Caenorhabditis elegans: one gene and its partner. The protein of the gene in region 1 interacts with the protein of each later gene in a pairwise test. Each region holds a gene or a part of one and is shown on either strand. Other genes may lie near its edges. The genes, in order: trap-4 and sgt-1.

Region 1 (16,430 bases):
TTTTTTGGGCATAGGGGAGGGAAAATGAAAATAAAAAGATACACGGGGCGCCCGATCTCGCCCAGCTTCTACTGCTGCTGAAAATTACAAATAAAAAAGATCGAACTTTCAGAGTAATGATCACCTATAAACAACTAAGCGTATAGTCATCAAGTATAGGGAGATATAATAACAAAGACAAATTATAGGGCGCGTGAAAACACAAAAAACTTGGGTGAGAGATGGGGAAGGGCACGAAACAGACAGCTAATTTACAATAACAGTGTAGACGGTTTTTGGTGGAAAAAGGAAGAAAAAAATAAAAGAAATAGACACATGAAAAATGACGGGAAAGAGATCTGTTCAGGCTTGTTGTGGAACTCCGATTAGGCCTTGTGGTGTCTCATCGCCTAGTCGAGAAGTTGATCCGGAGCTATGGAACAGCGAAAGCGAAGATCCAAGACCAAACATATGTCCACAGATCAATGGAGCAATCTGGTTCCAGTTGTCTCCGAAAAACTGCTTTTTGATCTTGAAAAACGTGGCGGCGGTCAGCAGTGCGTCGGATCCAGCTTGATGGCGAACTCCTTGTCGTTTCACGTCCAGCTGATCGGCGACCTCTTGAAGTCCTCCTTTCAGCTTTGCAGACGCGCAATTTGGAGTTCGGAGCAGGATTTTGATGTCGAAGCTGGTTGGGAAGAGAGTTTTGTGGCACATGAAGAACGTTGACTCTTCCTTAGGCAGATCTCCAAGTGTGATGCTTTTCAACAAATATCCAAAGTCGTAGCCGGAAGAGAACGTGAGCCATGTGATCCGTGGATCAGTGATGAGGCCTGACGTCGTCAAAAGTTCTCCGAATACTGCTGTCGGTATTCCATTGTTCTGGAAGAAAGAAATTATTATTAAAATATTGGAAAATCAATATTAAAAAAACCTGCAGCAATGTGAAGTCTATTCCGGCTTGCCGGAGCATTTCGACACTCTCATGCGAGAACATGTCTTCAGCGAAGGAGAAATTGAAATTGAACTGCCAAACATCGCCAGTCGGTGGTAGCTCTCCTTTGTCATTGACCATTGCAAAGCCCACTTGTATTAATTTCAGCATATTCACATTACAGAACACTTGCTGATAATTGAAATCTTCCTTGCTTCGAAATGTGCCCAACGGTGTCGCCACAACTCCGGGAAATTCTGTGTCCATTGCCACGTAGGGATAATCCTGAAAAAAAACCGATTTTTTAAAAATATTCAAACGATCGGCTGTACCTCGACGAATCCTCGAATCCTCGCGAATTCCTCCTCCACGTTTGACATATATACGTTGTGAATCTTGACTTCTGGTGCTCCACTTGCTCCACCTGCTCCACCTGCTCCACCACTGCTACTAGAAGCCATTTTTATGATATCTGGAACTAGAATTTTCGTTTTAGAGTGAACGCTTTTATTTTCGATTTTTTTAAACGAATTTATGGGACAGAAATCGAAAATAGCTTATAAAATAAATAAAATAATTTTTCCGCAAACTTTTAAAGCAGAAAAACGGGAGAAAAAGTCAGTTTGCAAAAGTTTTGAAGCGCAAAAGAAGTTCTTGAACGATCGATTTTGGATCGGCATTAAAGGCGCATGGAGTTTCCCAGCGGTGTGGGTCTCGCAGCGAACGGGAGAGAACTGCAAACTGGCTAGCTGCCAAGTGAGTTTGTTTTACGTGAAACTGTCGAGAAAACATCGTTTTAGTGAATTAAAATGTGTTTTTAATGAATTTTTCACTTATTTTCTTGATTTTTACCCTAAAAACATGAATTTTGTGCGTTAAAATGATGCAAATTCGAGTAAAATACGTATAGAATGCCTATTTTACTCATTTTACAAGATAATTCTTCAAAACACGAATTTAATTACTTTTTTGCAGGTAATAATGCTGAAGATCGCCGTCGCCCTTTGCCTTGTCGCTTCCGCTCTTTGTAAGTTGGAAAAATTAATAAATTCCCACACAAATTATTCAAATGTGTGGCTTGTATAAAAATAAGGCTCGATTTTTCGAATTTTAAGCGTAGATTGTTAACATTTAATACAAATAAAACAATAAATATTCCAGGCGCCAAGTGCGAGTCGCCAAAGTACTCGGCCTCGTCATTCTCCACTACCGACGGATTCTTCCACTACAAAACCACCTTCATCACCGAGTTCACACTTCAATGCAGCAACAACCCGAAGAATATCCAATACACTGCTGAAGTAAACGGTCGCCTTATCCCAGTCTCGATTTCCGACGAGACCGCCAAGTTCCAAGTCTCATGGACTCTTGAGCACAAGGACGCCGGAGCTCAAACCTTTAATATTAACATTTTCGACGAGGAGGGAGCCGCTCAATACGCCAAGAACCCTGTCACCAAGCCACTCTTCACCGTTCAACAAAGCCATGGGGTGAGAATTGCATCATTTTCACATAATTATCTTTAAAAATCATTTTTTGCAGGGTCTCGCCACGAAGTCTCCAATCTCTTCCGAGACTGTCGCCGTCATCATCGTCGTCATTGGCCTTTACTACGCCATTCGTCAAAAGACCGAACTTGTCCACTAAATATCATTGTTTTTATCCCCAAATTACTGGTCAACGCACGTTTGCGTGCTGGGTTTTTGTTCTTTTTGTTTTTATTTATATATACAAAATGTAATTTATTGATTTTTGCCCCTTTTTCCACCCCATTCGTGTATTTATAAGTTCAGTAGCCCCCAAATAGCCATAAATTGAAATTTAATTGCTAGACTGACGTAAAAAAAAGTTTAAAGAGTTGAGAGTGTAAATCCCCGGGAAACTTACTTTAGATAATTTTAAGACCCCCTTTAGGCCAAAATTTTCATTCAGGCAAAATGCTTTTGGCTCGATCCATAATCCGATGCTCGCGGAGCATCTGTTGTGCTCAATTCCAGACCCCATCAAGCTCACGATTCCTGCACACAAGTCGACAACTCCACGAGAAAGAGCCCACTCCGAAGAAGCCAGACGATCAAAAATGGAAAATGTTCAGAATGACAATGTCTGAGGAGCAAAAACTCGCAAAAACGGCGAAAATCGAGCAAATGAAGGCGGAAGAAGCGCCGAAAACGTTGTTCGCAAAAGTGAAATATTATTTTAAAAGATATTGGTATATCGCTGTGCCGGCTCACGCGGCATCGTGTACAGCATGGTTTATCGCATTGTATTTGGTGGTTAAAAGTGGAGTTGATGTGATTTCATTGCTCGAATGGCTTCATATGCCGGATGCTATCGTTGAAAAGGTCAAAAATACGCCCGAAACCGCCGGAGTTGTGGTGGTTTCGCTGATTTTGTACAAGGTTCGGAGGATTTTCAGATGTTTTTTCGAAAACTTTAATTAAATAACAATTTGTTTGGAAAAAACACAGATTTTCTCGGAAGAAACCCAATTTTTTTGTATAAAAAGCACGATTTTTTAGACAAAAACCATGTTTTGTAAAGAAATCAATTTTATTGAAAAAACTAATTTTTTAAAGAAAAAAGGAACAAAAAGGGAAGCCCTGGTTATTACACAGACGCGAAATTCTTCAATGTTAAAAAGGTGTGCGCCTTTAAAGAGTACTGTAGTTTCAAACTTTGTGGAGTTTCATCGATTTTTTAATATTTCTCACGAAGAACAAAGAAAATTACAACAAGTAAAACTACAGTAATCTTTAAAGGCGCACATCTTTTTTACATTGAAGAAAAAATGTTATCGTGTCGAGACCAATTACAGTATTTTTGTATATGTAATACTACAAAAGACGTGGAAATGTTGCCAAAAAATTACGAATTTTAGCAGAATTTAACCAGAAAAATAATTTTTTTTTCCAAAAAAATGTATTTTTTCGCGTATGTGTAATAATAAAAATTTAAATTTTCAGATCGCAATGCCATTCCGCTACATGACGACACTTTTGCTCATTCAAGCCACTTTCTGGACTCTCCGAAGATTGGGAAAACTGAAGACCGCTCGAGAAGTCGAGTACAAGGTCCGAAGTGAATATGAGCTGAATAAGGCACATTACGGACGACGCTGGTATCGGTGAGCATTTTTTTTAGGGGAAAAATCCATTTTTTGACAAAAAAAACACATTTTTGTGGCTAAATTCTTCTAAAATTCCCAATTTTGGCAAAATTTCCATGTCGAATTTCACCGATTTTATGCCAATTTTGGTCGAAATAGAGCCTTAATAATCCTAAAAACGCGTAAAAATGACCAAAATCGAGCCCTAAAGCAGCATCGCACAGAAAAAGAGGCGGAGCGTAATTTCGCAACCCTGCGGCACGGTTTTTTCCTCATTTTTAAAAAAAGGTTTTTTTTTTCAATAAAATTTCGATTTTACTAGTTTTATTCACATTTTTCGAAAAAAGTGAATAAAACTAGTGAAATCGAAATTTTATTGGAAAAGATCAATTTTTCAAAAAGGAGGAAAAAATCGTGCCGCAGGGTTGCAAAAATACGCTCCGCATCTTTTTCTGTGCGGCGCTGCTTTAAAGCTCGATTTTGGTAGTTTTTACGCGTTTTTAAGCCTATATAGGCTCTATTTTGATCGAAATTGGCACAAAAATCAGTAAAATTCAAGGAAAAAGTGACAGAAATTGAAGATTTTGGCTAAAAATCCAATTTTTCGGGCTATTTTTCACTGAAAAACCCCCAAAATTTTCCATATTTTCCAGCTATCGCCACCTTGGAGTTCGAAGTGTGAGCCGTAAGAACAGTGTTCACGCGACAACTGCTCATATTGGACAAGTTCAACGATTACAGAAGGAGCATGAGAAGCTCAATGAGCCGACGACGACGAAACTCCATGATAATAATAATAATAAAAAGAAGGATGATTAATCTAATTAGATATTATTTTTCAGTGTTTTTTAGACTGTTTTTTCTTCTGTTAGGGTGCTTCCGAGTGTGTATAAATTGATTTTTCCCCCCGAAAAATTTGGCTTTAACTTTTTATTCATAAATCTGGTCATTTTCCCTAATTATTATTGCCAAAAAACACTAGAAAATTAATTTTCAATTGATTTCCTTGTTATACAGCCGCATGCTGAGCACAGTTTTTCGGCGAACAATGGCGACTGGACGGCATTTTGTAAGATTTTCGGGGGTTTTTTTTCCAGAAATTTCTGGGTCTCGACACGACAAATTAGAAAAAAAATTTTTTTTTTAATCGAGTTGTTTTGAAAAAAACTATGAAAAATCGATTTAAAAAATTCCGAAAGTTTGAAGCTACAGTACCACTCTTTAAAGGCGCATTATTAAAAAAACATGTAGCAAAAATTTTCGTGGTGAGACCTGCAGGTAATTTGCCGCTTTTGAACATTTCCGGCAAATTGGCAAATTGCTGGAAATTAAAATTTCTGGCAAATCAGCAAACCGGCAATTTGGCGGCAATGAAAATTTCTGGCAAATTCACAAATTGCCGGAACTAAAAAATTCCGGCAAATTGGCAAGTTGCCGCTTTTGAACATTTCCGGCAAATCGACAAACCGGCAATTTGTCGAAAATGAAAATTTCCGGCAAATTGGCAAGTTGCCGTTATGGAGCATTTCCGGCAAATTGACAAATTTAGTACTGTAGTTTTAAACTTTTTTATCGATTTGTTTAAAAACTATGAAAAGTCGATAAAAATTCCGAAAAAAACGAAAGTTTGAAGCTACAGTACCTCTCTTTAAAGGCGCACCCCTCAACGAAAAATTGTCGTGTCGAGACCCGCCGGGTACCGTAATTTTCGCGCAAAATACGAAATTTTAGTTAAATTTGGATTTTATAAACTTTTTTATCAAAATTGGGATAGTTTTAAATGGTATTTTTGAAAAAAAATATTTTTCCAATTTTTCAGTTTTTTCTGCGAATTTTTCACGGGGTTCTGGCCTTCCTCATTGATTTTTTCGCGCTCCATTGATAATCGCCTGCAGGACTCCACACGGACAAATACATTTAGTTTTACAATCGAGTCGCGACGCGACACGCAACGCGCCGTAAATCTACCCCAGATATGACCGAGCCAAAATGGCCTAGTTCAGCAAAACTGTTCCATTTCAATTTATGAGGGAAGCCAGAAATCCGCGTTTCCCAAAATTCGGTCGTTTCGAGACCCAAAAAAATAAGTTTTTTTCCAAATTTTTGCGAACCAAGAATATTTTCAGATCGCAGTATGTCAAATGACAAGCGACAACGATCTGGAAAAGAACTTTCAAGCCGCGAAAAATATGATCGAAAGAGCCGGAGAAAAGAAGTGCGAGGTAAAAATTCTACGGCTCCCGGAGCAAAGCTGCCGTCGAAAAAACGGGAATTTTTGGATTAAAAATAGGAAAAAAAAATTTCGAAAATTCCGAAAAATGTGGCAATTTTAATCATAAATCGAATAATTTTTAAAATCATGTAAAAAAAATGTTTCCAGATGGTTTTCCTACCAGAATGCTTCGATTTCATTGGGCTCAACAAAAATGAGCAAATCGATTTGGCGATGGCTACGGACTGTGAATATATGGAAAAATATCGGGAGTTGGCGAGAAAACACAATATTTGGCTTTCACTAGGAGGCCTTCATCACAAGGTTAATACTTGAAAAAATTAATAATGGCTGAACTTCAGAAGTTTAGGATCCATCAGACGCTGCTCATCCATGGAACACCCATCTGATCATAGATTCCGATGGAGTAACTCGTGCTGAGTACAACAAGCTTCACCTCTTCGATTTGGAGATTCCTGGAAAAGTACGATTGATGGAGAGCGAGTTCAGCAAGGCTGGCACTGAGGTTTTTTTTAAGTTTTCAATTCCGGCAATTTGCCGATTTGCCAGAAATTTTCAATTCCGGCAATTTGACCAATTTTCCGGAAATTTTCAATTCCGCAATTTGGCCAATTTGCCGGAAATTTTCAATTCCGGCAATTTGTCGATTGGCCATGAATTTTCAATTCCGGCAATTTGTCGATTTGCCAGAAATTTTCAATTCCGACAATTTGCCGATTTGCCAGAAATTTTCAATTCCGGCAATTTGTCGATTTGCCAGAAATGTTCAATTCCGACAATTTGCCGATTTGCCAGAAATTTTCAATTCCGGCAATTTGGCCAATTTGCCGGAAAGTTTCAATTCCGACAATTTGTCGATTTGCCATAAATTTTCAATTCCGGCAATTTGTCGATTTGCCAGAAATTCTCAATTTCGACAATTTGGCCAATTTGCCAGAAATTTTCAATTCCGGCAATTTGTCGATTTGCCAGAAATTCTCAATTCCGGCAATTTGGCCAATTTGCCGGAAATTTTCAATTCCGACAATTTGTGGATTTTCCAGAAATTTTCAATTCCGGCAATTTAGCCAATTTGTCAGAAATTTTCAATTCCGGCAATTTGGCCAATTTTCCAGAAATTTTCAATTCCGGCAATTTGTTAATTTGCCGGAAATTCTCAATTCCGGCAATTTAGCCAATTTGTCAGAAATTTTCAATTCCGGCAATTTGGCCAATTTGCCAGAAATTTTCAATTCCGGCAATTTGTTAATTTGCCGGAAATTTTCAATTCCGACAATTTGTCGATTTGCCAGAAATTTTCAATTCCGGCAATTTGCCGATTTGCCAGAAATTTTCAATTCCGGCAATTTGTCGATTTGCCAGAAATTTTCAATTCCGACAATTTGCCGATTTGCCAGAAATTTTCAATTCCGGCAATTTGTTAATTTGCCGGAAATTTTCAATTCCGACAATTTGTCGATTTGCCAGAAATTTTCAATTCCGGCAATTTGCCGATTTGCCAGAAATTTTCAATTCCGGCAATTTGCCGATTTGCCAGAAATTTTCAATTCCGGCAATTTGCCGATTTGCCAGAAATTTTCAATTCCGGCAATTTGTCGATTTGCCAGAAATCTTCGATTCCGGCAATTTGTCTGTCTACTCCGAGTTCCAGATGATTCCTCCAGTTGACACCCCTATCGGACGTCTCGGACTCTCAATTTGCTACGACGTTCGCTTCCCAGAGCTGTCCTTGTGGAACCGTAAACGCGGCGCCCAACTGCTCTCATTTCCAAGTGCATTCACACTGAATACAGGTCTTGCTCACTGGGAAACTCTGCTTCGTGCCCGGGCAATCGAGAATCAGTGCTATGTGGTGGCGGCTGCTCAAACTGGGGCCCACAATCCGAAACGACAGTCTTATGGGCATTCGATGGTTGTTGATCCGTGGGGCGCTGTTGTTGCACAGTGTTCCGAGAGAGTTGGTGCGGAATATTCTGAAAAACTTAAAACATTTTTTAAGTCTAAAATTTTTTAGAAAAGCCTAGAAAGTGCTAAATTTTCTAAAAGAAAATTGGAAAAAAAATTCTTAAAAAATTAGGAAAAAATCTAGAAAATTCTAAAAATTCTGGAAATTTGAAGAAATTCTAGAAATCTCTAGAATATTTAAAAATATATCTAAAAAATTCTAGAAAATTCAAAAAAAGTAAAAACCTTTTCAGGAATTAAAAAAAGGCTTTAAATTTCGAAAAATTTCTAGAATTTTCCTATAATTTTCTAAAATTCCGTTTTTTGTGCCATTGTTTTCAAATTTTTCAATGATTTGTATTACAGAAACACTAAATTCTGAGAATGCGTATTGCACAACATATTTGACGCGCAAAATATCTCGTAGCGAAAACTACAGTAATTCTTTAAATGACTACTGTAGCGCTTTTGTCGGTTTACGGGCTTCATTTTTGAAATGAATTTTCTCAATTTTCGCTTAATTAAGTACTCTAGCGATAAATCGATTCATTTAAAAAATTGAACCCGTAAATCGGCACAAGCACTACAGTAGTCATTTAAAGGATTACTGTAGTTTTCGCTTCGAGATATTTTGCGCGTCAAATATGTTGTGCAATACGTATTCTCAGAATTTAGGGTTCCTGTAATATGTAGAAATCATTGAAAAATAAAAAAAAATCTAAAATTTTATGGTTATTTTGGAATTTTTTTTTGAAAGTTCTAGAATTGAACGTTCTTTTAAAAAAAAAATTTATTATAAAAATAATCTAGAAAGTTCTAGAAAATTTCAGAAAAATCTGACATATTTCAATTCTTTAATGCTAAAAAAATTTTTCAAAACTTTCTCAAAAACTCTGAAATTTTTTAGAAAATTCTAAAAAAGATTTGAAAACTAGAGAATTTTAGAACATTGAAAAAAAAATTTTTTTTTGAAAAGTTTGTGAAATTTTTTTAATTCTAAAACATCTAGAAAATTTTAAAAAAAATTGAATTTTCTTAGACATATCTAGTAAATTCTAAAAAAATTCTGAAAAAATCTAGATAATTCTAGAATTGAAAAAAAAATTCTAATCCCTTTTAGAAAATTCTAGAAAATTCAAGAAAGGTCGGACCTTTTTTTTTAATTCTAAAAAATCTAGAAAATTCAAAAAAATTTTGAATTTTCTTAGAAATCTCTGGTAAATTCTTTGAAAAATTCTAAAAAATTCTATATAAATCAAAATTCTAGAATTAAAAAAATATATCTGGAAAATTCTAAAAAATTAGTAAATTCTAGAAAATTTAAGAAAAAAATTAGAAATTTTTTAGAAATGTCCGGAAAATTCTAAGAAATTCGAGAAGATTCTAGAATTAAAAAATAAATCTAAACAAATTTTAAACAAATTTAGAAAATTCTAGAAAATTTAAGAAAAGTCGGACCTTTTTTTGATTCTAAAAAATCTAGAAAACTCAAAAAAAAGTAGAAATTTCCAGAAAATTTTAAGAAATTCTAAAAATTCTTTAAAACATTAGACAAGCTTATTAATAGAAAAATTATCGATTTTTACTAAAATTAAACAAAAATCAATATTTTTCAGACATGTGCTTTGCTGAAATCGACTTGAGCTACGTGGACACTCTTCGTGAAATGCAACCAGTATTCTCCCACAGACGCTCCGATCTCTACACACTTCACATAAATGAAAAATCTTCTGAAACTGGTGGCCTGAAATTCGCCCGATTCAATATTCCAGCTGATCATATTTTCTACAGTACTCCGCACTCATTTGTATTTGTCAACTTGAAACCAGTCACTGATGGACGTTAGTGTGAAATTATTTATTTAAAAAAAAAATTAAAATTAAGCTAATTTCCCCCATTTTCAGACGTTCTTGTAAGCCCAAAACGAGTAGTCCCAAGATTGACCGACTTGACTGATGCTGAGACTGCCGACTTGTTCATCGTCGCGAAAAAGGTTCAAGCAATGCTGGAGAAGCATCATAATGTGACGTCGACGACGATTTGTGTGCAAGATGGGAAGGATGCTGGGCAGACTGTTCCAGTACGGGCTTTTTTCCGCAGCATTTTACCAATTTAATTTTGAACATTTTCAGCACGTTCACATTCATATCCTTCCCCGCCGCGCCGGAGACTTTGGCGATAACGAAATCTACCAAAAACTTGCGTCACATGATAAGGAGCCCGAGCGAAAGCCACGATCCAATGAACAGATGGCAGAAGAAGCGGTGGTGTATAGAAATCTTATGTAGAAACAATTGTGTGATTATTATATTTATGAATAAATAGATTATTATTATAATATTTTGAAATACAAGTACAGAGAAACGGGGAGAAAAGTGAAAAAAATCTACATGTTCGGAATGAATTACAAGCATATGAACCCGAAAGTGGTACTGCGATTTTGCGCTAAAAACTCGGAATTTTCATGGATTTTTCATCATAAAAATAAAAATCGATAAAAATCGACAGCAACGGAAATTTGAAATTACAGTGCTCATCACGTGGTGCCAGGCTGTCCCAACACGGTTTGATCTACAAAAAAATGCGGGAATTTTTTGCCCTTAAAAATGTGACGTCAACACGTTCTTAACCATGCGAAATCAGTTGAGAACTCTGCCGCATTTTTTGTAGATCTACGTAGATCAAGCCGAAATGAGTACTCATTTAAAGGCGCACCGCATTCAATGAAATATTTTGTTTCGTGTCGAGACCCGGTACCGTTCTTTCGGCGCCAAAATCCCAAAATTTCGCATATAGGTAATATATTAAACAATTAATTAGAAAATGTGATATCTAGCGGTTAGTCATAGAATAAGATAGGTGACGAGTGGAAGTATAAAATTATCCATTGAATTTATGAAAGCTTCAGCCAATGTGGCTACAAGAGATGCGATGATGATTGAAATTGTTGAAGATGAATCTTTGATGAAAAGATTTGTGGTTAGAAGGAATACCAGCATTGAGAAGAGCATTGCGATGGATCCTTCCAGCGATTTTTTACTTCTGAAATTTTTTTTTAAATTAAATTTTTTTAAAATGAAGTAATAGCGAAATTTGGATTTAAAATACTAATCAGGGGGTGGAAAATTGCCGGTTTGCGGATTTGCCGGAAATTTTCAAATCCGGCAACTTGTCGATTTGTCGGAAATTTTAGTTTTCGGAAAATTGCCGGTTTGCCGATTTGCTGGAAATGTTCAATTCCGGTAAATTGTCACTTTGCAGTGAATTTTCAATTCCGGCAACGGAAATTTTCATTTTCGACAAATTGCCGGTTTGCCGATCTGCCAGAAATTTTCATTTCCAGAAATTTGCCAATTTTTCAGAAGTTTTCAATTCCGGCAAACTTGTCGATTTGCCGGAAATTTTTATTTTCGGCAAATTGCCCATTTGCCGGAATTGTTCAATTGTTCAATGTTCAAAAAAAAATTTTGTCGACAAACTGCCGATTTGCCGGAAATTTTCGTTTTTTATCTTGATTTTCAATTTTTTTTGTTGTTGTTGCGAGTTTCAAATTTATGATTTACGCGATTTTTGCCCAAAAATACGGTCTCACCACGACAATTTTTGCTGTTTTTTTTGTAATGCGCCTTTAAAGAGTACTGTAATTTCAAACATTCGTTTCTCCGGAACTTTAATTGATTTTTCGAAAAAACTGTTTTTTAACAAAAAAAAATTAAATAAAAAAATTGATTTTTAAAGGCGCACATCCTTTTATATTTAGCAGAAAATTTTCGTGTCGAGACCCTTTTTCAGAGAAAATCGAATTTTTTTATTGAAGCATCGAAAAACTGTAAAAAATCTCGAAAAATGTACGAAAAAAGGCGGGAATTTATTTTGTTGAAAAATTGGCATTTTTCCAAAAAGTCAAAAATTTTCGATTTTTCGATTTTCGAAACGAATCAAAAATCGGCCTGCTTACCCCTTCCACTTGGTAACTCCAAATTTCGAGCCAACAATCGCCGCCATCGAATCCCCAACCCCTACTGCAGCTACCCCAGCAAAAATCGCAAGTGTCGGCTGAAAGCTTCCAACATCCCAGCAGGACACCATCAATGGAAGAAAGATCCCAACCAAGAGATAGATCGGAGTGAGCAGTAGCTCCGAGTCCTGAGCATCTTTAAAAATCAACAAATGCTCATTGAGCACACCACCCCATGGTGGGACATTCAAATAGCGGAGCAACTCGACGAGCGTGAAAATGCACAACCAGAGCCATGCGCAGAGCCACGAGAATAGAGGATCCAGGAGAATTCCAGAGATGTAGATGAGGGAGACGGTTAGATGGAAGAATTTTCTGAAAATTTGCGAACGTTTATAAATTTACATGCCCATCATGCCTATCATGCCTACCGTACCTACCATGCCCACCACACCTAACATGCCTACCATGCCTACGAAAATGTGACCGAATTTTAGAATAATTGCAACTTTTTCAACATCATTAACGAGCAAAAAATTAGCACAAAACAATAGGTAGGTATGGTAGGTATGGTAGGTATGGTAGGTATGGTAGGCATGGTAGGTACGGTAGGTAAGTAGTATAGAAGGTATTATAGGTATTATAGGTATAGTAGGTATTATAGGTATGGTAGGCATGGTAGGTACGGTAGGTAAGTAGGTATAGAAGGTATAGAAGGTATTATAGGTATTATAGGTATTATAGGTATAGTAGGTATTATAGGTATTATAGGTATAGTAGGTATTGTAGGTATTATAGGTATGGTAGGTAATATAGGTATTATAGGTATTATAGGTATAGTAGGTATTGTAGGTATTATAGGTATGGTAGGTATGGTAGGTATAGTAGGCATTATAGGTATTATAGGTATTATAGGTATGGTAGGTATGGTAGGCATGGTAGGTATAATAGGTATTATAGGTATCATAGGTATTATAGGTATTATAGGTGTTATAGGTATGGTAGGTATTATAGGTATGGTGGGTATTATAGATATTCTAGGTATGGTAGGTATGGTAGGTATTCTAGGTATGGTAGGTATGGTAGGTATGGTAGGTGTGGTAGGTATGGTAGGTATGGTAGGTATGGTAGGTATGGTAGGTACGGTAGGCATGGTAGGTATAGTAGGCATTATAGGTATTATAGGTATTATAGGCATGGTAGGTATAATAGGTATTATAGGTATCATAGGTATTATAGGTATGGTAGGTATGGTAGGTATAGTAGGTATGGTAGGTATGGTAGGTATAGTAGGCATGGTAGGTATTATAGGCATGGTAGGCATGGTATGCCGGAGACATTCTCGTTGGAGCGCGCCGTGTCATGTCGATTTACGAGAGTTTTCAATTTTAGTTTTTCCCGGTTTTTTTTCTGAAAACTTGCTTTTTCGTACGAATTTGAACATGTTATTATCCTAAAAATCGAGAAATTTCCTATTTTCAGTGAAAATTGCGAGAAATTTCGCGAGTTTTATGGCAATAAAATGGTCAATTGGCACGAAAACTCAAATTTTTAAGAAAACCCGAAAAAAAATGAAATCGAAAAATCTCGTAAATCCACATGACACAGCGCGCTCCATTGAGTGTCTCCGGCGCGATTTCAAGCTGAAATATAAAATCAGGGGGTTTTTTTCTAATTTTTCACATAGAAATTCGGAATCAGGGGTAAATTTGGAGTTAATAAAAAAAATTAATTTCCAAAAAAAATCCCCAACCTATGCACAGTACTACTTCTTCCAATCGATGAAACGTAGGCACAAAAAATCACTGAAATCGCGACATTTGCCAGCCAAAATGCCACCATATACACTCTGAAAATTATCGTTTTTTTTCAGAAAAACTTATTTTAAAAACCTATTCCAAGAGTCTTGTGGACCAATTACCATCCGGAATAATAGCTCAAAAGTCTCCGGAATCGATCGATTTACGAGACTTGAAAACGCGAAAATTGCAATGGAAATGACGACGGCGAATACTGCATTGATGATTATTGGGGAGCTGGAGATGAATTTTCTTATTATGCAGACGTGAAATTGTGCGATTTTCGCGGCGCCAAAAATACGGTATCGGGTCTCGACACGAAAAGTTTTTTTTTAAATTTTCACGGGGGGTTCTGGCCTTCCTCATTGAATTTATCGCGCTCCATTGACAATCGCCTGCAGGACTCCATACGAACAAATAAATATAGTTTTAAAATTAAAATCGAGCCGCGACGCGACACGCAACGCGCCGTAAACCTACCCCAGATATGGCCGAGCCAAAATGGCCTAGTTCGGCAAAAACTTTTCCATTTCAATTTATGAGGGAAGCCAGAGTACTGTAATTTCAGTTATTGGAATTTTTATCGATTTTTCGCCTATAAAACAACAATGAAAGATCAGAAGCTACAGTACTCTTTAAAGGCGCACGCCCTTTCGCATCTAACAAAAATTTGTAAATCGTGTCGAGACCGGGAATACCGTATTTTTGGCGCGAAAATTGCAAAATTCCGGTAATAATTGTTAAACTTACTGTCTGAGAATCCACGACGCTGCGACAATAACCAAAGTGGCGACCGTAGCCACCACGACAAGACTACCGTACTCATCGCCGAGCATTCTAAAGTGAGCCGGTTAATTCGTGAATTTTGCAACAAAAAAATCAGCGCCGCACGGAAAAGAGGCGGAGCCTAATTTCGCAACCATGCGGCACGGTTTTTCCTCTTTTTTTTAATTGATTTTATTTTGTAAAAAAAATATTGGCCAAAATCTTACAAGAAAATCGGAATTTTATTTGACAAATCAATTTTGAAAAAAACCGCGCTGCAGGCTTGCAAAATTACGCTCCGCCTCTTTTTCTGTGCGGCGCTAATTTTTTCGCAAAATTCTGGAAAAACTGAAAAATAAATAAACCATATATATTTTCGATGAGAATCATCTACATTTCGTGTGTGTAGATTCTAAAATTAATTTTTTTTCAAAATTTTTTATTAAATTAAATTAAATACAGATGATAAGTAGGAATAAAGTCATTTTAAAATGAAAGCTGTTCGTGAAAACTGAAAATTTTAACAATTTCAGCTGAAAGAAAAAAAAATTAAGAAAAAAAAAGTGTGTTCATGGAGAGGGTCGTGTTGTTCTGCGGATTAGGGTGTTGGTGTCTGGAAATTTTTTTTGATTAAATTCGATTTAAAAAATGCCAAGAAAAGGGCGGAGCTTATTATCGATTTTTCCGCACAGAAAAAGAGGCGGGACCTGGTTTTGCAGACCTGCGGCACGCGCCGGCCGTCGTGTAAAACATGCGCCGCAGGTTTGCAAAACCAGGCTCCGCCTATTTTTCTGTGCGACGCTGCAGAATATGATCGTTCTGCCACTCTAAATTACACGTGCCAGGATAAATCGATAATAGGCTCCGCCTCTTTCTTGGTTGTTTTGTAAAATTGTAATTGTATTCCACGTAATAATAAGATGACGTGGCATGATATATATATATATATATATATTCTGAATCTCTGCAAAAATTTATTCAAAGCGCAATGCCCCTGAGAAATCATATTTGACGCGCGCAAAATATCTCGTAGCGAAAACTACAGTAACCCTTTAAATGACTACTGTAGCGGTTGTGTCGATTTACGGGCTCATTTTTGAGGCCCCACCAAAACAGAATGCAGCTCAAAACAGGATTTACCAAAACAGGATTCACATAAACAGGGTGCAGTGGGCGGAGCGAATTCGCAACCAGCGCACGCTTATTTCGTAAGCCTCGCACGTGTGTTCTCTTGAAAAAATGCAACAATATCAAGGAAAAAACGTGCGCGAGGCTTGCGAATTCGCTCCGCCCACTGCATCCTGTTTATGTGAATCCTGTTTTGGTAAATCCTGTTTTGAGGTGCATTCTGTTTTGGTGGGGCCTCAAAATTAAGCCCGTAAATCAACACGAGCGCTACATTAATCTTATTTAAAGAATTACGGTAGTTTTCGCTACGAGATATTTTGCGCGTCAAAAATATGCTGTTTTCTCAGAATTTTGTGTTCCCATAATATCGTAAAGTCAAACTAATCAAATCTTCGTCAGTCACCCATACGTAGCACCTTGACAACCAATACACCTTCCAATTATATGACTAATCCCTCTCTCTCTCTCTCTCTCTCTCTCAGAAAAGCTTCAAACTCGGAGGGAGCCGGCGAGCACGTTGGTGATTAGAAGCTAAAACGGAGAGCATGTGTGTGTGTGTGTGTGTGCGAGCACACGCGCTT
Region 2 (17,028 bases), on another chromosome or scaffold:
AAAAATTCTGCAGGAGCGAGAGATTGAAAATACTGTACTTTTTAAAGGCGCACACTTGTTTGTTATCTACGAAACACTGTCGTGTCGATACCGAGAACCGCATTTACGGGTGTGCGCCTTTAAAAATTACTGTAACTTAAAACTTTTGTGGTATTTTTATCGACTTTTCATGGTTTTTATGTCTTCATATCGTTTTTTTTTGATAATTTTTATTAAAAAAACAAATATATTACCTGCTGTGGTGCACGAACAGTTCTTGTTGATGACGTGCTGGCATGATCTTTGCGAGATCTCTCGCTCTTCAGACATCCACGACTTGAAGAGGAACCGTCAGTTTCAGCCCCGGTTTTGTCTGAAAAAAATAAATTATTGATTTTTATTCAATCTGAATGAAAAATTCGAATTCTTACCATCATTATCCAGTGAAACATCAGATTCGTCAGAAGTGTTATCGAAGAGTCGTCGCGCAGGAGCATCTGGCACATTAACGCCATTATTTGCTGGGTTTCCAAAATTTGAAGATGATGGAATGTCTTTGTTCTGTTCTTCCGATTGAGACATGTTGTAGAATGGTGGAAGACGAAGAAGATGATAAGAGTGACAGTTTAATTACTGAAAATGTGCGAAATTTTATATAGTTTTATTTATTTAGGAAACAGATAGTGAAAGTTTGGGAGGAGTTGAACAGTATAAAATAAGAATGACAGGCAGAATGGCTGGGTAAATATTATTCAAATACAAGTATTTTCAAAATTCCGCAAATTTGAACAAGTTTTCATTTAAAAAACACATTTCGAACGGAAAATTTGGGTAAAAGAAAGCTTGGAACATAGTGAAAAAGGACTTTGCGAACAAATAAATTAAAATTTGCTTGATTTCAATTTGTTTTTTTCATTTTTTACAGAAACAACAAATTTCACAGCAGCGTTCTCCTGACTATCACACTTTTTTTTTGAAACAAAAACGAATAAAACAAGCTTGAAATAAAACTTTTGGTACCCAGACGTCTCTGGCCCCAAAAAATTTAAGTTGACGGGTGTCGACAGAGGGAAATGAGTGGCTTTTGGAAGGAGACCTGGGGCCACCAGTCAGCTTCTCGCTTCTTTTTTTTTCTCTAGCACTCTCTCAACTTTACAATACACTCTACGCGCTGCTGCAACTTTTCTGTCAAGTTGTCTGCCGTCTCTTCAGTTGAACTTGGTTTACTTTCGTGGCGAGACACATCAAAGTGACGGCCGACATGTGCCTTTGAGGCTGATGAAATTATTCCCGCAATTTCCAGAAATTTTTGCACTGATTCTGAAATAAAATGACGTTGCAATCTTTAATTTTACTCTTCGTTGTTCAAAAACTTTTCAATTTTATTCTCGTTACAATATTTCACTCTTCATTGACCAAATTTCGCAAATAGAGCGCTTAAATTCAGATTTTAAGTTAAGCATTTAAAATTAATACTCTTTTTTTTTAATAATAATAATAATTTATTACGCTCGCTGGGAGACGTGAAGGAATATAGAATACAAAAGTTATCATTGTTCGCTCGAACTAGAATTGGTGCAGTCGGGCAATCGTTTCCATTCCATTAGAATGTTGTCCTTGTCCTTGCGTTGTCCTTGCGTAGACTCCCCCATAGTGGGCGAGCGATTCCCGAGTGAAAATAATCACGGAATGCCATTTTTAAGCGATGCCATTTTCTATTTCTTGAACTATATATTTTTAAGAATATTTTAATCTGCGCTTTATCATGGATTTTCAATTCAACTTTATATTACTTTTCTAACTTCAATATAAAATTATTTAATAAATATATTTTTATTTTTAAGAAAATGTCCGAGGAGATCAAGCCTTCTGCTCCAGATGCGCCGACTGCTTCGCCAATTGTGACCAGAGACGAGCAAAATTTGGTTGTCTCATTCCTTCAGTTTATCCGCCAGAAGGTTTCACAAAATCAGGCCACTGCCGAGCAAGCGGAAGCTCTTGAAGGTTTTTTCCTATTTATTTCTATAAATTTAGCTTAAGATATATTAAAATTTCAGTTGCAATTCAATGTCTCGAACACTCGTTTGGTCTTGATGATGCCTCATACGCTTTCCAACCATCACGCCCAATTCTCGAACTTTTCAAGAGCGCCGAAGGACTTCCAGAGGGAGAATCTGCTCTTCCAACACCGAGCGATAGTGATATTTCTCAAGCTAACAAGCTTAAAGAAGAAGGAAACGATTTAATGAAAGCCTCCCAATTTGAAGCTGCTGTTCAAAAGTACAATGCCGCCATCAAGCTCAACAGAGATCCAGTCTACTTCTGTAACCGCGCTGCTGCTTATTGCCGCCTGGAACAATATGATTTGGCCATCCAAGATTGTCGTACAGCTCTTGCCCTTGATCCATCTTACTCAAAAGCTTGGGGAAGAATGGGTCTTGCATATTCTTGCCAAAACAGATATGAGCATGCCGCTGAGGCATACAAGAAGGCTTTGGAGCTTGAACCAAATCAAGAGAGTTACAAGAATAATTTGAAAATTGCTGAAGACAAATTGAAGGAGCTGGAAAGCTCGCGACCGGCACCAGGTGCCAATCCATTGGCTGGGCTTTTGGGAGCCATGGGAGGAGGACCGGGAGGAATGCCGGCTATGCCAGGAATGCCAAACATGCAAAACCTTATGAACGAGCCAGGACTTATGCAAGCTGCTTCACAGATGATGAGCGATCCAGCACTTTCTGATATGGTAAGTATCAAATTTTCGGGAATAAAAGATTTAATTGAAATGGCAATGCACGTGGCCGTCAAAATTAATTGTTTTTCATTATTATTGCTTGTTTTTTGATGATGTATGCTCTAAAATATTGAATTTTTCAGTTCAACAACATGATGTCTGGAAATGGATCAATCGCTGATTTGATGGCTGCTGGCCAGCAAATGGCTGCTCGCATGCAAGAGACCAATCCAGAACTTATTGAAAATCTTCGACGCCAATTCGGCCCCGGAGCCGATGGAGGAGCACCACCACCAAACCCACCACAATAGATAATCTCTTCCGCCAATCTCCTTCCGCATCACGAATTTCCATTTCGTTATCTCTCTCTCTCTCTCTTTCCCCTTCTCTCGTCTTTACTTTCTGCTCTCATGTGATTTGAAAAAGCCGAAGTCGCTTATGGTTACTCGTTTTTTTTAGTTTCTCTCGCAGAATTTCCCCTTACAATGATGATGTTATAATCGCCCCCGATTCAAGCCTTATCGAAATATTGTTTTTAATTAGATGGTCATGTTTTAACTACCAACAAAAAATTGGGTCAATTTTCTTTTTTTTCACGAATAATAAATATTGTCGAAATATTCTTTCCATCACAGACACACTGGTTGCAAACGCGCTCCAACACGAAATTATCGATTTGCACCCAAACGAAAGATAGCGCGGGAGTACTCACATTTTCTTTATTTTTGATTTTTTTGTTGAAATATTTTAGTATTAAATTAAACAATTTAAATTGTAAAAAACCTCAAATTTGAAAATAAATTCAGAATGCAACGCCACGAAAGGATTCGATTTTTCATAACTGAACAATGTCGTAATCTGGATCCAACGTATAGAAATTATGTAGGAATTTAATTTTCTGTCAATCTAAATTCTTTTAAAAGTTATTTTCAGATGTACCCGAAACAAATTCTTCTCGGTGACGTTCCTCTACCACTTCTCCCTAATTCTTCACTGACGTTTCGAGTCAATTCAGCTGTAAGTAGAAAATTTATTGCGTGACGAGCATTATTGTGTTTTAAAAACTCTAAAAATGATCAAATAAATTTAATTTTTTTTAGGAAAAAATCTGCTTCCGTATTCGACTTTCGATTGATGACAGCCAGGAACCATTGAATATTGGAATTCCATTATCACAAGTTGAAAGTGTTTCAATTAAAGATCATAGTGCGAAACATCCAGAACCTGCTCTTCTTTTTTTACTTAAGAAAGGAGCTTTAGAGAGATTTATTCAGGTACACTATAATTTTTTCGATTTTCGCACGACAAATTTTTGTAAAATGAAAGAAGGTGTGCGCCTTTGAAAAGAGTACTGTAATTTCAAATTCTCGTTTATGCAGAATTTTTATCGATTTCCATAGATTTTCACTAACAACTTGTGTTTGAAAAAACACATGAACTCGTCAATTCACTGCAAAAAAATTCGAAAAAATTGAAGATTCCGTAGCAACGAAAGTTTGAAGTTACAGTATTATTTAAAGGCGCACACCAGTTTTCACTTAACGGACAATTTTCGTGTCGAGACCAGACCCCGTATAAAACGAATTATTTCAGGTCTGTAATCCACTATTGGGCGAACTTCACACATATCATGGACGAAAACGTAAAATGCTGACATATCTAACAGTAATTCTCGGAATGGATCCACACTTGGAGCAACCGAATCCAGTTTATTGCCGTGTTTCATTAATGGCTAACAAATTCACATTCCCATTTGGAACAGCGAAGAAAATTTTATTAAAAGATGTGAGTTTTGATTTACCGCGTTTTCTAAAAAAAACACCAACAAAAACGTTTTTTCCCGGGGAAAAAAGACGAAAAATGAGTTTTATTCATCTGAAAATACATGAAAAATTAGATTTTTTAAATTAAAGATTTCCCAAAAAAATTATCAGAAAATTTCCAATTTTTCCATAAGAAAACGCAAAGATGTATATTTTTCAACTAAAATATTGCGATTTTTCCAAGAAAAAAAACTATTAAAAATAAATACAATCCAATTTTCCAGTTACCAATAATGTGGCAAGAAGTCTTGGATAAACAATACGATCGTCGTCTGAAAACTGGAATTCATCATGATAGAGAACGAATGGCAGAGATGGATGATGAAGCATGGGATTGGCTTATGTCATTTCTAAATGTTAAATGGGACAAATGTCCCAGTGGTGGACGTTGGTTCGTTAGAGATAAGGATGGTACGTTTTTTTTTTGCTCCGAAAACATTAATAGCCAGTTGTGAAATTCGGTGATTTCGAATAAAAATACGGTACTCGGTCTCAACACGACTAGAACTTAAAAGCTACCGTACCCAGAAGTATTTTGCAATTTCCTAAAATGTGGCAATATTAATTTTTTCATAGAAATACCAAGTTTTTTTAGCACTATAAATCTTGAAAAATTTAAGGAAAAATTGTGGAATACTTGTGAGTTTTGTAGCTGCAAAGTTTCTTGAAAATCGAAAAATTAAAACTACCATAACTACAATGCAATCTAATTTCAGAACTCGAAACTTCAGTCAACGAGCATAATGAGTAAGTTTCCTATATTTTACAACTAAAATTAACTCTGAATTTCCAGAAATCTTGCAATCAAACGAGAAGCTTCACCACAAGATGATCTACTGGCTAAACCAATGAAGCAAATAAAATATTCCGATTCAGATGTTGGTTCTCCAAATTCTATATCTTCGGAATCTTCAGCTTCTATTATGACACGATAAAACACTCGTTTAAAAATCATTTGTTTTCAACCCCGCTAGAACACTTTTTACTATCAGTTTTCCATCTAATTCTTCACCAAAAAATCAAAAATCGATACTCACAGCTGCTCCTTTACAATTTCAGCCGTTGAGTTCTCATCATGACTGGAAATGTATCATTTGGCTGAGTCTATTCAGCGACATTAACCATTTCAACTTTTTTGGCATCAAATGTTTTATAATTTTATTCTTATTTTACTGCACTTTATTGTCATTAATGGCTCAATAAAAATGTTAATAATCAAGTTTTAAACACTGAGACATGCCAGGAGTAAACATTTTCAGATACAGTACCCACAAGAACGGTAGACTCGAAATTTGAATTTTTCAGAGGAAAACAGTAGTTTCACGAGCTGAAAACAAATTTTTTGTGTTGATAAAAGTCCAAAAGCATTTCTGTTCAGAAATTAATTCCAAAATTAATTTATCGTAGACTCAGAATCCGTTGTAGGAGTCTATGACTCCAGGCTCGTCTCTCGGACTCTGAATATCAAAAGACGAAGTGAAGAAGCTTATTGAGATGGAGGAGAAGCCGAAGGAACTTTGGAAGAACTCGTTTTGGCAATTTGCATTTCTATTAACTATTGAATAAATGATTATATGTACATAATATCAACTAGGACCCTTTGGGTCCTGCAAATCATATGGGCCTTCAAATGGCCTGAAATGCCGTATGGGACCATATTTAGCTTAAAAGCTGAAAGGTTCAATACAGAAAAAACAAGGAGATTTCGATTTATTGCACAAGAAGTCTATTAAAAACAAATTGAACTTTCTTATTAAGCCTTCTAAAGGTTGTATTCGATTTGGAGATCCACACAAGCTCCTTTAGGGACCAAAATTTAAAAGCTGAAAAGTTTAAGACACAAAAAACTGAACTTTCAAATTTCATTTATTGAACGTATTGCAAGTTCACAGATCCTATGGGTTGTACTCAATTGGGAGGTTCTTGCGACGGACCATACCGTCTCCTTGGAACCATTCCCGACGGAATTGCTTAGCAGCACCATCCGGGGTGTTGGTCCACTCAACAGTGATACGATCGTTGTTAGTGTCCTCCTGTCCAAAAGCGAAGGCATCGCAGGAAACTGCCAGAAGAACAGCTTCCTTTGGATCGAGCACTCCACATGGTGGATCAACTCCAAGTCTCTTCATATTGGTGGTCTTGATACCGTATCCAATACGGCGAGCCGAGGAGTTAATCACCTTGATGTGGTAGGTGTGCTTGTCGTCGTATGGTGCATTGAAGACGATCTTCGTACCCGGCTGGGTCTGGATCATACCTGTGCGGCATTCGGAATTTTTCGGCATAACGGCATAACGGCATATGCCGCCAAAAATTTTTTTCGGCATATCGGCATATGCCGATATGCCGTCCATTTTTCTTTTCGGCAAAACGGCATTTTCGGCATATGCCGTGAATTTTGAAATCGGCATTTCGGCATATGCCGCGCTCCAAAAACCAGCATTATGCCGGCATTCGGCATTCGGCATTTCGGCATTTTTAATTTAATTTAATTTAATTTATTACGATAGTAAAATATCGTGAGGTAGAAAAAAAAACACACATTAATAGATACAAACCATCACAAGTGGTTACATAAATAAATTACACAAATAAAACGAAACAAAAATAAAAAGAGATGAGAAGAAAATGATGGCTACATTGGAGAAGAAGCAAAAACAGAAATATCGATGTATAAATGGCAAGAATAAATGATGGATAGAAGTGAGGATAAGGTAACATTAGATCAGTGTTGCTTCATTGTGGGTAGTGTTCTGTTAACAAAAAAGTGTCTCCTAAGTTTAGATTTTCCTGTGCTCCAGATATATTTCTTTTTAGAACGAGTGTGGGTCTCTTGTTGCTCAAAAAACTCAGATGTTTTTAAGTCTACTTTACCAGTATTCATTCTGATTATTTGGATTCTGTCAATTATTTTACGTCTCGTGCTTAAGGTTTGGAAGTCGAATAGTTCGTTACGTTCCATGGCAGTTTTGTAATCTTTATCAGTTGGATTAATATATCTTTTTTTGATTCTACTATAAAGGCGCCTAGTGAATGCGTTTTGTACAGACTCTATTGCTTTCTCATCCGATTTTTTTGTCGGAGAAGACACTACTGTTCCATATTCTAAACGAGGGCGGATGAAAGTTTTGAATAAGAGAATCATTAGTTTCTTATTGGAGGTACTGTACTGGTTGAACATGTTGGCCAGTTGAAATTTAGCTAGATTGATACATTTCCTCCAATGCTCAGAGAAATCCAGCTTTTCAGAGATTAAAAATCCAAGGTCTCGGGTAATAGCTTTTCGCTCAATAGGGTAACCGTCTAGGTGGTATTTGAAATCTATTCTACGTTTTCCTACTGTGACGTGAACTGTCTTAGATTGGTTTAGAGTGAGTTTTGATCCCCTTGTCCAATCTACTACAGCATCTAGAGCAGACTGTAAATTGTTTTCGCTTTCAGTCTTAGGGGTCGATACATACAATTTCGTGTCATCTGCAAACTGCTTACATGCTACTTTTTCGGGTAATATTGATGATATATCATTAACATAGATACCAAACAAAAGTGGTGACAGAACTGCGCTTTGTGGGACGCCACAAGTGGCCAATTTTCTGGATGGCAGCGTTTGCCCAATTCTAACCCTAAAGCTTCTATTTGACAGAAATTCATTCAACCATATCAGTAAATTTTTGTTCATTCTTAAAGATACGAGTTTATCTAAAAGTAAGTCATGTGGGAGGCGGTCGAAAGCCTTGGAAAAGTCTAGGTATATGATATCGATTTGCTCACCGAGATCAATACTTTTAGTCCAATCATTCAAAGATTCTAACATATTAGTCACCGTTGATTTTCTGGGGCGGAATCCATGTTGATTTTGTGACCAAAATTTGTTATCTACTAGAAATAACTCAATTTTTGCTAATATACATCTTTCGTAAACTCTGCACAAGTGCGAGGTCAAGCTAATGGGTCTGAAGTCGGTTGGATTGTTAGCGTTAGTGATTTTTCCAAGAGGTATTACAATGGATTTGGTCCAAGCGTGCGGGACTTGCCCTCTCATCATGCTCAAGTTGAAAATCTGGGCCAGAACGCTACTGATGAGAGGCGATAGTATTTTTATAAACGTAAATGGGACCTGGTCGCTTGTTACAGAGCAAGACTTTTTCGAGGCCATGATCACTTTTAGAACTTCTGCATCAGTAACCCAGGGAATTGGTTGCTCTGATACAAAATCATCGGCTAGAGCAAAGTTCTTGTTATTTTGATTTGTATACTGAGCCTCAAAGTAGGATGCTAGAAGATTTGCTTTGTCTAGTTCAGAGACAATTTCATTTTCGTCATTATCTATCAGGGTTGGAACACTACAGTTTCGCGGGTTCAGAAGAGTTTTTGCGTGTTTACTAAACTTACTATTGCCCTTTTTTTTAATAACTTTACCTCCAGGTTACTTAGATACTTCCGCAACTTTTTTCTATATTTTCTCTCTAGGTAAATGTATTCTATAAAATCATTCATAGTTTTCGACATTATCGTTTTGCTGAATTGGTTTTTTACCATTTGTTCAAAAGACCTTAAATATTGAGGCACTGGTTTTGAAGTCTCTGGCATCGGCATAGTTGGGACTGCCTGCGAAAACATTGTTCTAATGTGGCCTAGAAAGCATTCATAAATATCGTTCACGTGGGAACGGGTATCAAATACCTTTCCCCACTCTATGTTTTCAAAGTATGTTGCACAGCAGGGCCAGTCCAGTTTCGAAAAATCTGGTATCATTTTCTTAGGGACAGATATATTTTGTAAGAGCTGTACCGTAAATTTAATGGTATTGTGGTCACTAGACCCTATTGGGGCCATGATGTTTAAATTGCTGATTACGGAATTAGAAAGAGCAACATCCAGAATTTTCGATTTGCGGGTTGGCATTTTGACACATTGTTCCAGATTATGGTTTTTGCACAGATCTACTAATAAAGAACCTAATTTAGTTTAGTCGTTGAGGCCCCAGTCGATACCTCCAATATTAAGATCTCCCACAACTACAACTTTGCCTTGATGTTCCACAAGGTCTTCAATTTTACTAATTAGTCTAACAGTATTTTGATAAGTGCAAGAAGGAGCACGATATATGTTTATGATTCTAAAGGGAACTATTGTTTTCCAGTTACAAAAAATCAACATGATTTGAATGTTTTCAATCAAACTTCCATGTTCTTTATATCATTACCAATATCTAACAAATAGTATTCGTCTGATTTTGGTATGTGGCGTAACACTGGCTTTTGACAAGATATTGAGTTGGGGTTATTGGTTAGATGTTTTTAGGTTTCTATAGGAGTACTTTAATGCGCCCAACTGCTATCAATCCCCCTCCATTTGAGCTGTATAGGGCATCTGCGAACTTTATTGGGAAACTAATATTGGCATACCAAAAAACCTATGTATCTACAATTTTATACTCACATTTCAAATTGAAGGATAAAGAGCAAAAAGTTGAAAAGTCGACCGTCCAAATGCTATGGGACACCCTGACTAGGAATCCGTCAGAAGGTGCTCATGCGACTTACATATTAGATCTATTTCATTCAATCTCATACAGTTACGGTTATAGCAGCTGACATCCGGCGGGTTGGTATTTTGACAGAAATTGTTAAGTGACGCACAACTTTAAAACTAGATGTTTTCATAAAACAAAGTTTGACAAGAAAAAAATTTCCACAAATTTTTCTACATTTTACAATTTGTTTCTTTGTCACGAAGTGGCCAGGAACATTTATACGATTTATACGAAATCTATACGAAATATTAAACCTTCAATAGAAGGGTAAGAATTGACAACATGTTTTCATAATGCATGCAATATTTTTTTGAAATCAAATTCTGGGTTGAAAAACTTTTTATACATGTTAAAACTATTCGCATTTTAAGTTTTCCATGCGAAAACTGCTCTGTGAAAAGTTTGAATTCGATTTTCAGAACATGCTTAAAATGTCAAACTTTGTGCTTCATTTTTAATTGTTTTCATAGAATCTCCTGGTCTATTTGTAACAAAAAACACATTGCAAAACGTAGAACACTTTATGGAAATTATTTTCTCATTAAACTTTGTTTCTTGAAAACATCTAGTTTCAAAGTTGTGAATCATTTAGAAATTCAAGTCAAAAACGGAACCACCGGATGTCAGCTGCTGTAATTTTTTTTGGAACAGAGTTGGATTATTTTTACAAAATAAAAAATGTAGAAAAAGTAATCGGCAACATTTTGTTAGTTTGGAATATTTTGCTAACTATTACAGTTTTTGAGTTACACGTGTTTGAACAACTCAAGCTAATCACCCACATACCGAAAACGAATAGAATATTGGCCGGCACTGTATGTAAGTCCGATGGGCACCTTCTGACGGATCATTAGTGAGATTTTCGAGAATTTCACACAAAATTCTCATTTTTTCGCAAAACATTAAATTTTCCAGTTTCAAAATAACATTTAATGGAGTACATTGGTAGTGTACTTTTTGTTTTTTATATCATGGAAATTACTGAAAACATGCAAAAAAATTCAAATATGTTAATGTACACGCGTTGAAACATATTGGTGCATTTTCAGACAATTTTCGATCCAAGCAAAAATTGTTGCAGAAATTTTCTAAATGCTTGAGCAAAAAGCTTCAGGAAATCTCAAATATGGAACAATCCGCGAAAAAACCTTACTATTTGCAAGATCTTTATGTTTCATCGGATACACGAAAATTATGAAAATATGGTTTTTGGCAAAAAAAAACCAAAGCCAAAAATGCAAAAAAAAAACGGCATAATGCCGACATAATGTCGGCATTATGCCGTTATGCCGGTCATTTTATTTTTCGGCATAACGGCATTTACGGCATATGCCGTGAAATTTGAAACCGGCATAACGGCATATGCCGCGCTCCAAAATCCGCTCCAAAATCCGGCATTATCGGCATATGCCGAATGCCGAATGCCGCACAGGTATGGTCTGGATGTCTCCTGGTGGGACGGATTGGGCCATGGCGATTTATTTGTAGAGTATGGAAACTCACAGTGAAGATTATGGTAAAACCTGCTCAATTTATAGCAAATTTCGCTCTTATCTCTGTCCTAGATCTAAACGTTGTATTTATTAATATTTCGTTTTAACAAAATGTTTTTAGTTTTGTTGCTATTAGAGATTGTTATGATATATACTCTGTTCTGACAGTAATGGTTGTCAATCTTAGAGTTCCTCAGAAATTTTTCTACTTCAGTCAATCTTTGTGTCTCTGAATCTCTGAAATTTTGATGTTGACTATAGTAACCCACTCACAAGGTTAGAAGAGAGAAGTTCCCACTATATAGTCAGATCAGATCTCTCATCGTTTCCCAAGAGTTATGTGCCTACTGCTCAAAAATGAGACCACAGAAATAGGCATGATTTAGGCACGATTACCTATTGATTTCCTATCCGTTTTAATTGTACATAAATCAATGAAATAACTTTTCAGACCGTGTAGTTTCAAATCAAAGATGTTGCTATTATATAATGGTTTATTTATTGTTTGATAGCTTGGTATATTTTACGAGGTAGATAAAAATGAACACTAAAATAAATAGTTCTATAATTTATCTAGATGTAACTGGTCTTTTTTCAATCCATTTTTTAACATTTGGAATACTATGAATTTTCTTCTGATGATCTTTCATCTCCAAGAATGTATCAAGAATTTTTCCATCTGCTTCCAAGAGATCAGCTGAATGTTGAGCAATGGCCAAATCCATCCAAGTTAAAGAATCTCCAACAAGGAAACCACTTCCACTGGATTTCAAAGATTCAGTGAAAATTGAGTACATTTTATTGAAAGCCGGAACGAATAAATCTTTGTAAAGTTGATCTACATCTCCATCGGAAAATCCCATTTTGGCCCTAAAGAATGGCCGTGCTTCAACACGATAATCCTTGAATTGGTCACCGAGAGCATCAACTTGAGCTTCTTCCCATGATGATTTTCCAGAAATTCCAAATTGTTTTGATAGATACCGAACAATTGTAATCGATTGTGCCAGTTGTCTTCCATCAACTTCTAGAACTGGAACTTGTCCAAATGGGGTCACTGAAAATTATATTAAGATAAGAAATATTTATGTTTCTGAGCACAGGATTTTTTGTTCGTTTAAAGAATGATTTTTGATAATTTTTGAAATTGTTGAATAAAAAAAAATTTTCAAGTGATCTCCTATTTTTCGATATTCTTTTGAAGATTTGAATAAAAGTTTCACGAATTTTCAAAAGTTCATTCAACTTTTCGAACATTATGTGACGTAAAGATCTAGGACAGTGATAAGGATTTGCATAAATAGAGAAGGTTTTGTCATAATCTTCACTGTGAGTTTTCTCACTCTACAAAGAAGTCGCCATGGCCCAATCCGTCCCACCAGGAGATATCCAGACCCAGCCGGGTACGAAGATCGTGTTCAATGCCCCGTACGACGACAAGCACACCTACCACATCAAGGTGATCAACTCATCTGCTCGCCGTATTGGATACGGTATCAAGACCACCAATATGAAGAGACTTGGAGTTGATCCACCATGTGGAGTTCTGGACCCAAAGGAAGCTGTTTTTCTGGCAGTTTCCTGCGATGCCTTCGCCTTTGGACAGGAGGACACTAACAACGATCGTATCACTGTTGAGTGGACCAACACTCCGGATGGTGCTGCTAAGCAATTCCGTCGGGAATGGTTCCAAGGAGACGGTATGGTTCGTCGTAAGAACCTCCCAATCGAGTACAACCCATAGGATTTGTGAACTTTCCAAAACTTCAATAAACTTTCATTGATAGCTCGTTTTTTGTTTTTTTTTACTTGAACATATTTTCAGAGATTTTCAAACGAGATAATATTGTCATGCTCGAAAAAAGAGCTTCCTTTCCACTCCTCGTTTGAGCATTTTCCTCTAGATCAGCTGGCTCGACACTACAATGTTTCTTCGATCATCTCTTTAAAAAAACCGAACTTTAATATTTCTGCAGGTTCTGCCAAAATGATTCCAAAAGAAGCCTGGAATTTTTGATTTTTTTTTTGCATTGCAAAGTTTTTTAAATTTCTGCAGTATCTGCCAAAATCCCCAATAATAAATATATATTTGAATTGTTATATTTTCGATTTTTTTCAGTAGAAAATCGAATTGAATTTATTTAATAATGTGGAAAAATCGAATAAAATTGTAAAATGGGTTACTGTACTGCTTAAAGGCACACCTTAATCTTTATGTGAGGATATTTTGTTCGTGGCGGGATACCACTTAAAAACTGAAGCATTTCGCTACATTGTAATTAATCAACTTTTTAAACTGAGGATTTCATTCTAAAATGCAACTTTTGAACTTACTATTTTTAATTTCTGCCCACTGCTCTTTAGAAATACGCTCATCAATAAATTCTTGGCCGGCAAAAGCGAAAACTTGACGAGCGATTTCTCCATTTCCACGAGATTGAAAATAAATTAGTTTATAGGAAACCATTTTTCAGAATAAAATGAAGAATTCGTCACAATCTGGCGCTTTTGAACCCTTCGCTCTCAGTGTCTGCGTTTCTCATTTCTCACTAAATCGACATCAGAAAACCACAAACATCAACTTTTTTTTCCAAAAACCAACATTGATGTATTTCACAATATTCTCATAAGTTTTCAAATTTTCATTCAACTTTTCGTTTACGTGCAACATAAAATTATATAAACCGAGGAAAATCTACACATAATTATTTAGCTAAACTCATGCAATATATAAATCATTTTTAAATACTAAAATTATGTGATAACAGTTGGAGCCTTGCGATTAGTGAACTGCTCCATTTTGCAAGTATCAAGTGCAATCAACACCAATGGTTTGAGCAATTCGTGAGCTGGAAGTAGAAGGCGAGAAGTGTCATTTGAAGGAATGTACGAATCAACGTAGAGACGGATGGTAGCACCGGCAGATCCTGTTCCAGAGAGTCGGAATACCAATCGAGATCCATCTTCGAAGACAATTCGGAGTCCTTGTTTGGTTGCAACTGAACCATCCACTGGATCAGTATATTGGAAATTGTCAGCGACAGCAACCTGGAAATAGTATTTTTTAGAAAAAATAAATCTTTTCGAACTTTCTCTCACCTTATATGTAACCCCATTTGCCGAGAAATCTCTTCCAACAAATGCTGGCAATTGAGCTTCAAGGAAAGTCATCAACAAGTTGGCACCAGCTGCATCCACATTCTCATAGTCGTAACGAGTGAACACATTTCTTCCATATTTCTGCCAATGCTTCGTCACAATTTCCTCGACGGATTCTTTTCGGTCTGCGAGAATTTGAAGCCATGCAAGAAGTGCCCAAACGCCATCCTTCTCACGAATGTGATCAGATCCAGTTCCGAATGATTCTTCTCCACAAATAGCAATTCTTCCAGCATCCATAAGATTTCCAAAGTACTTCCAACCGGTCGGTGTCTCATACACTTGAAGTCCCTTTGCCTTGGCAACCAAATCAACAGCTCCAGCAGTTGGCATTGAACGAGCAAAACCAGCAACCTTACGAGTCTTGAAATATGGAATATAATCAATGTTATCAGCAATAACAGCTAAAGAATCACTGGGGCAAACGAAGAAGCCATTCTTTCCAAGAATCATATTACGATCACCATCTCCATCAAATGCAGCTCCTAAATCGTGTTCTCCGGTGTGGAGGCGTTCAACAAGAGTTTTTGCGTAGGTGAGATTTGGATCTGGATGACCTCCACCGAAATCTGGCTTTGGAACAGTTCTCAAAAGATCAGAAGGATCAGCTCCAAGATGATCGACAAGAATTGTAGAGATGTATGGTCCAGTTGCTCCGTGCATCGAATCAAGTAAAACTCTGAGTTTGCGTCCAGTAAGTTCACCAGCGAGAAGGGATTTGATTTTTGGGAAATCAAAGATTTTCTGCATGAGGTTGATGTATTCGGTAACTGAATCAATGACGTCAACGACAAAGTGACCAACTCCCTCAATATCATATTCATATCTGAAAATTAATGTACATCAATGTAATCAAAATATTGATGTGTTTACCTTCCAACTTGTGTAAAATCGCATTCTAAATCCTTGGCAATCAAGTATTTATCGATTTTAGTTGTGATCTGATAAATGGCATCAGTGACTTGATCTGGAGCAGGTCCACCATTTTCGCAGTTGAATTTGATTCCAAAATCTCCCTTTGGACCTCCTGGATTGTGACTAGCAGTGAGAATTATTCCTCCATCAACAACACGACCTTCGTGTCCTTTTCTGATAAGATTCGAGAGAGCTGGCGTCGACAAGAAACCGTTTTGACCGACGATAAGACGGGAAAGCTGAAAAACTCAAATTTATAAAAAAATTACTAAAATTTCTCAATATTTCTTACCCCATTGGCTGCTGCAATTTTAATAATCACATTTGTGGCTTCCATCGAAAGAAACCGTCCATCTCCACCAACAACCAACTGAGAACCCTTCTTTTTCGATCCAAGACCAGCATCCAAAATTGCTTGAACAAAGTTTTCCGTGTAATTCTGCTGCTGGAATTCCGGAACCCGTTTGCGAAGACCAGATGTTCCGGGTTTCTGTCCTGCGAATGGTTTTGTGGGGGTTTCAACGACGGCGATTCCCATTTTAGGCTGAAAATAAATATTATAGATCAGAAAATAAAATGGACTGACTATGAGAAAAGAGAAAATAGTAAACAGAAAATGATCGCTTCGTATCTTATCACGAAAGTCAAGTGGTTGGTCAATGTTCAGTGATAGTAAACATAGAAAAATGAATAACTTTAGAAATGGGCCGACCTAAAATGTGCTCGAACTCTTCTGGGATAACTTTTGACCTCAAATGCAACTTTTAAATGGGGTTTTTAAAGTCCAGGTAGACAGACATGTTAAGAACACGAAGAATTTATTTATCTTCTGGTGGGTGGGCAGGAATAGTTCAGATTTCGCAGCGAAAAAAGAAAAGAAATGCCAGCTGCAGTTGTTGGCGCCAAAGGAGAGCACCCACACAAACAGAGAGTTCAGAGAAATAGAGAGCAACAAAATACGTGTAGAAATGGAACAACTGCTGCTGTTCATCAAAAAAGATAAAGAAAAATGAAAAGAAATCAATGAGCGAAAAAAAATTTATCTTCTTTATACTCTCTTTCGAAAATTCGAGACGCCCCCTATTGCTTATCAAGGTTTTCATCGCTACAAACTATTGAATATATTGTGTCGAACACAAAAACAACGAAATTTCGGGAAAAAGAACGATACAAATGGTGAATACCGCGCGCGCATTTCGAGTAATTTGTTTTTTTCAAACAAAATTTCAATAATGGTATGCGGTAATTAAAATCGCTGCGATACTGACAAACACTTTTTTCCTTCTGTGCCTTTAAACCGACCGTAATTAATAAAAAACTTTTTTTTGATAGTAACCGAATGAAATTTGGAGAAAATATTGATAAGTATTTAAGAAAAACTCAACTTTT

What was found.
Region 2: the proteins of trap-4 (region 1) and sgt-1 interact in a two-hybrid assay, tested with the Caenorhabditis elegans proteins (2 studies listed by BioGRID).

Annotation. Positions count from the first base shown.
Region 1 is NC_003281.10:11,918,847-11,935,276, forward strand, and holds trap-4 (Translocon-associated protein subunit delta), read left to right. Parts: upstream 1-1,888; 5' UTR 1,889-1,894; coding exon 1,895-1,940; intron 1,941-2,074; coding exon 2,075-2,403; intron 2,404-2,455; coding exon 2,456-2,560; 3' UTR 2,561-2,741; downstream 2,742-16,430. Other genes in the region: ccf-1 (CCR4-NOT transcription complex subunit 7), read right to left, coding at 343-861, 914-1,198, 1,246-1,374; Y56A3A.22 (DUF1279 domain-containing protein), read left to right, coding at 2,851-3,315, 3,880-4,040, 4,676-4,841; nft-1 (Nitrilase homolog), read left to right, coding at 5,044-5,091, 6,149-6,244, 6,403-6,558, 6,605-6,760, 7,907-8,216, 9,816-10,040, 10,104-10,279, 10,332-10,487; dolk-1 (dolichol kinase), read right to left, coding at 11,043-11,241, 12,158-12,532, 13,911-14,006, 14,050-14,193, 14,707-14,792; Y56A3A.7 (Homeobox protein cut-like), read right to left, coding at 15,320-15,334.
Region 2 is NC_003280.10:4,888,592-4,905,619, reverse strand, and holds sgt-1 (SGTA homodimerization domain-containing protein), read left to right. Parts: upstream 1-1,823; 5' UTR 1,824-1,826; coding exon 1,827-1,983; intron 1,984-2,036; coding exon 2,037-2,725; intron 2,726-2,856; coding exon 2,857-3,024; 3' UTR 3,025-3,332; downstream 3,333-17,028. Other genes in the region: btbd-10 (BTB domain-containing protein), read right to left, coding at 234-352, 411-561; R05F9.9 (MSP domain-containing protein), read left to right, coding at 3,521-3,595, 3,647-3,730, 3,814-3,987, 4,307-4,498, 4,761-4,947, 5,253-5,283, 5,330-5,471; msp-32 (Major sperm protein 32), read right to left, coding at 6,432-6,791; msp-33 (Major sperm protein 33), read left to right, coding at 12,926-13,309; gst-9 (putative glutathione S-transferase 9), read right to left, coding at 12,135-12,622, 13,900-14,032; pgm-1 (phosphoglucomutase (alpha-D-glucose-1,6-bisphosphate-dependent)), read right to left, coding at 14,320-14,613, 14,665-15,550, 15,598-15,878, 15,932-16,177.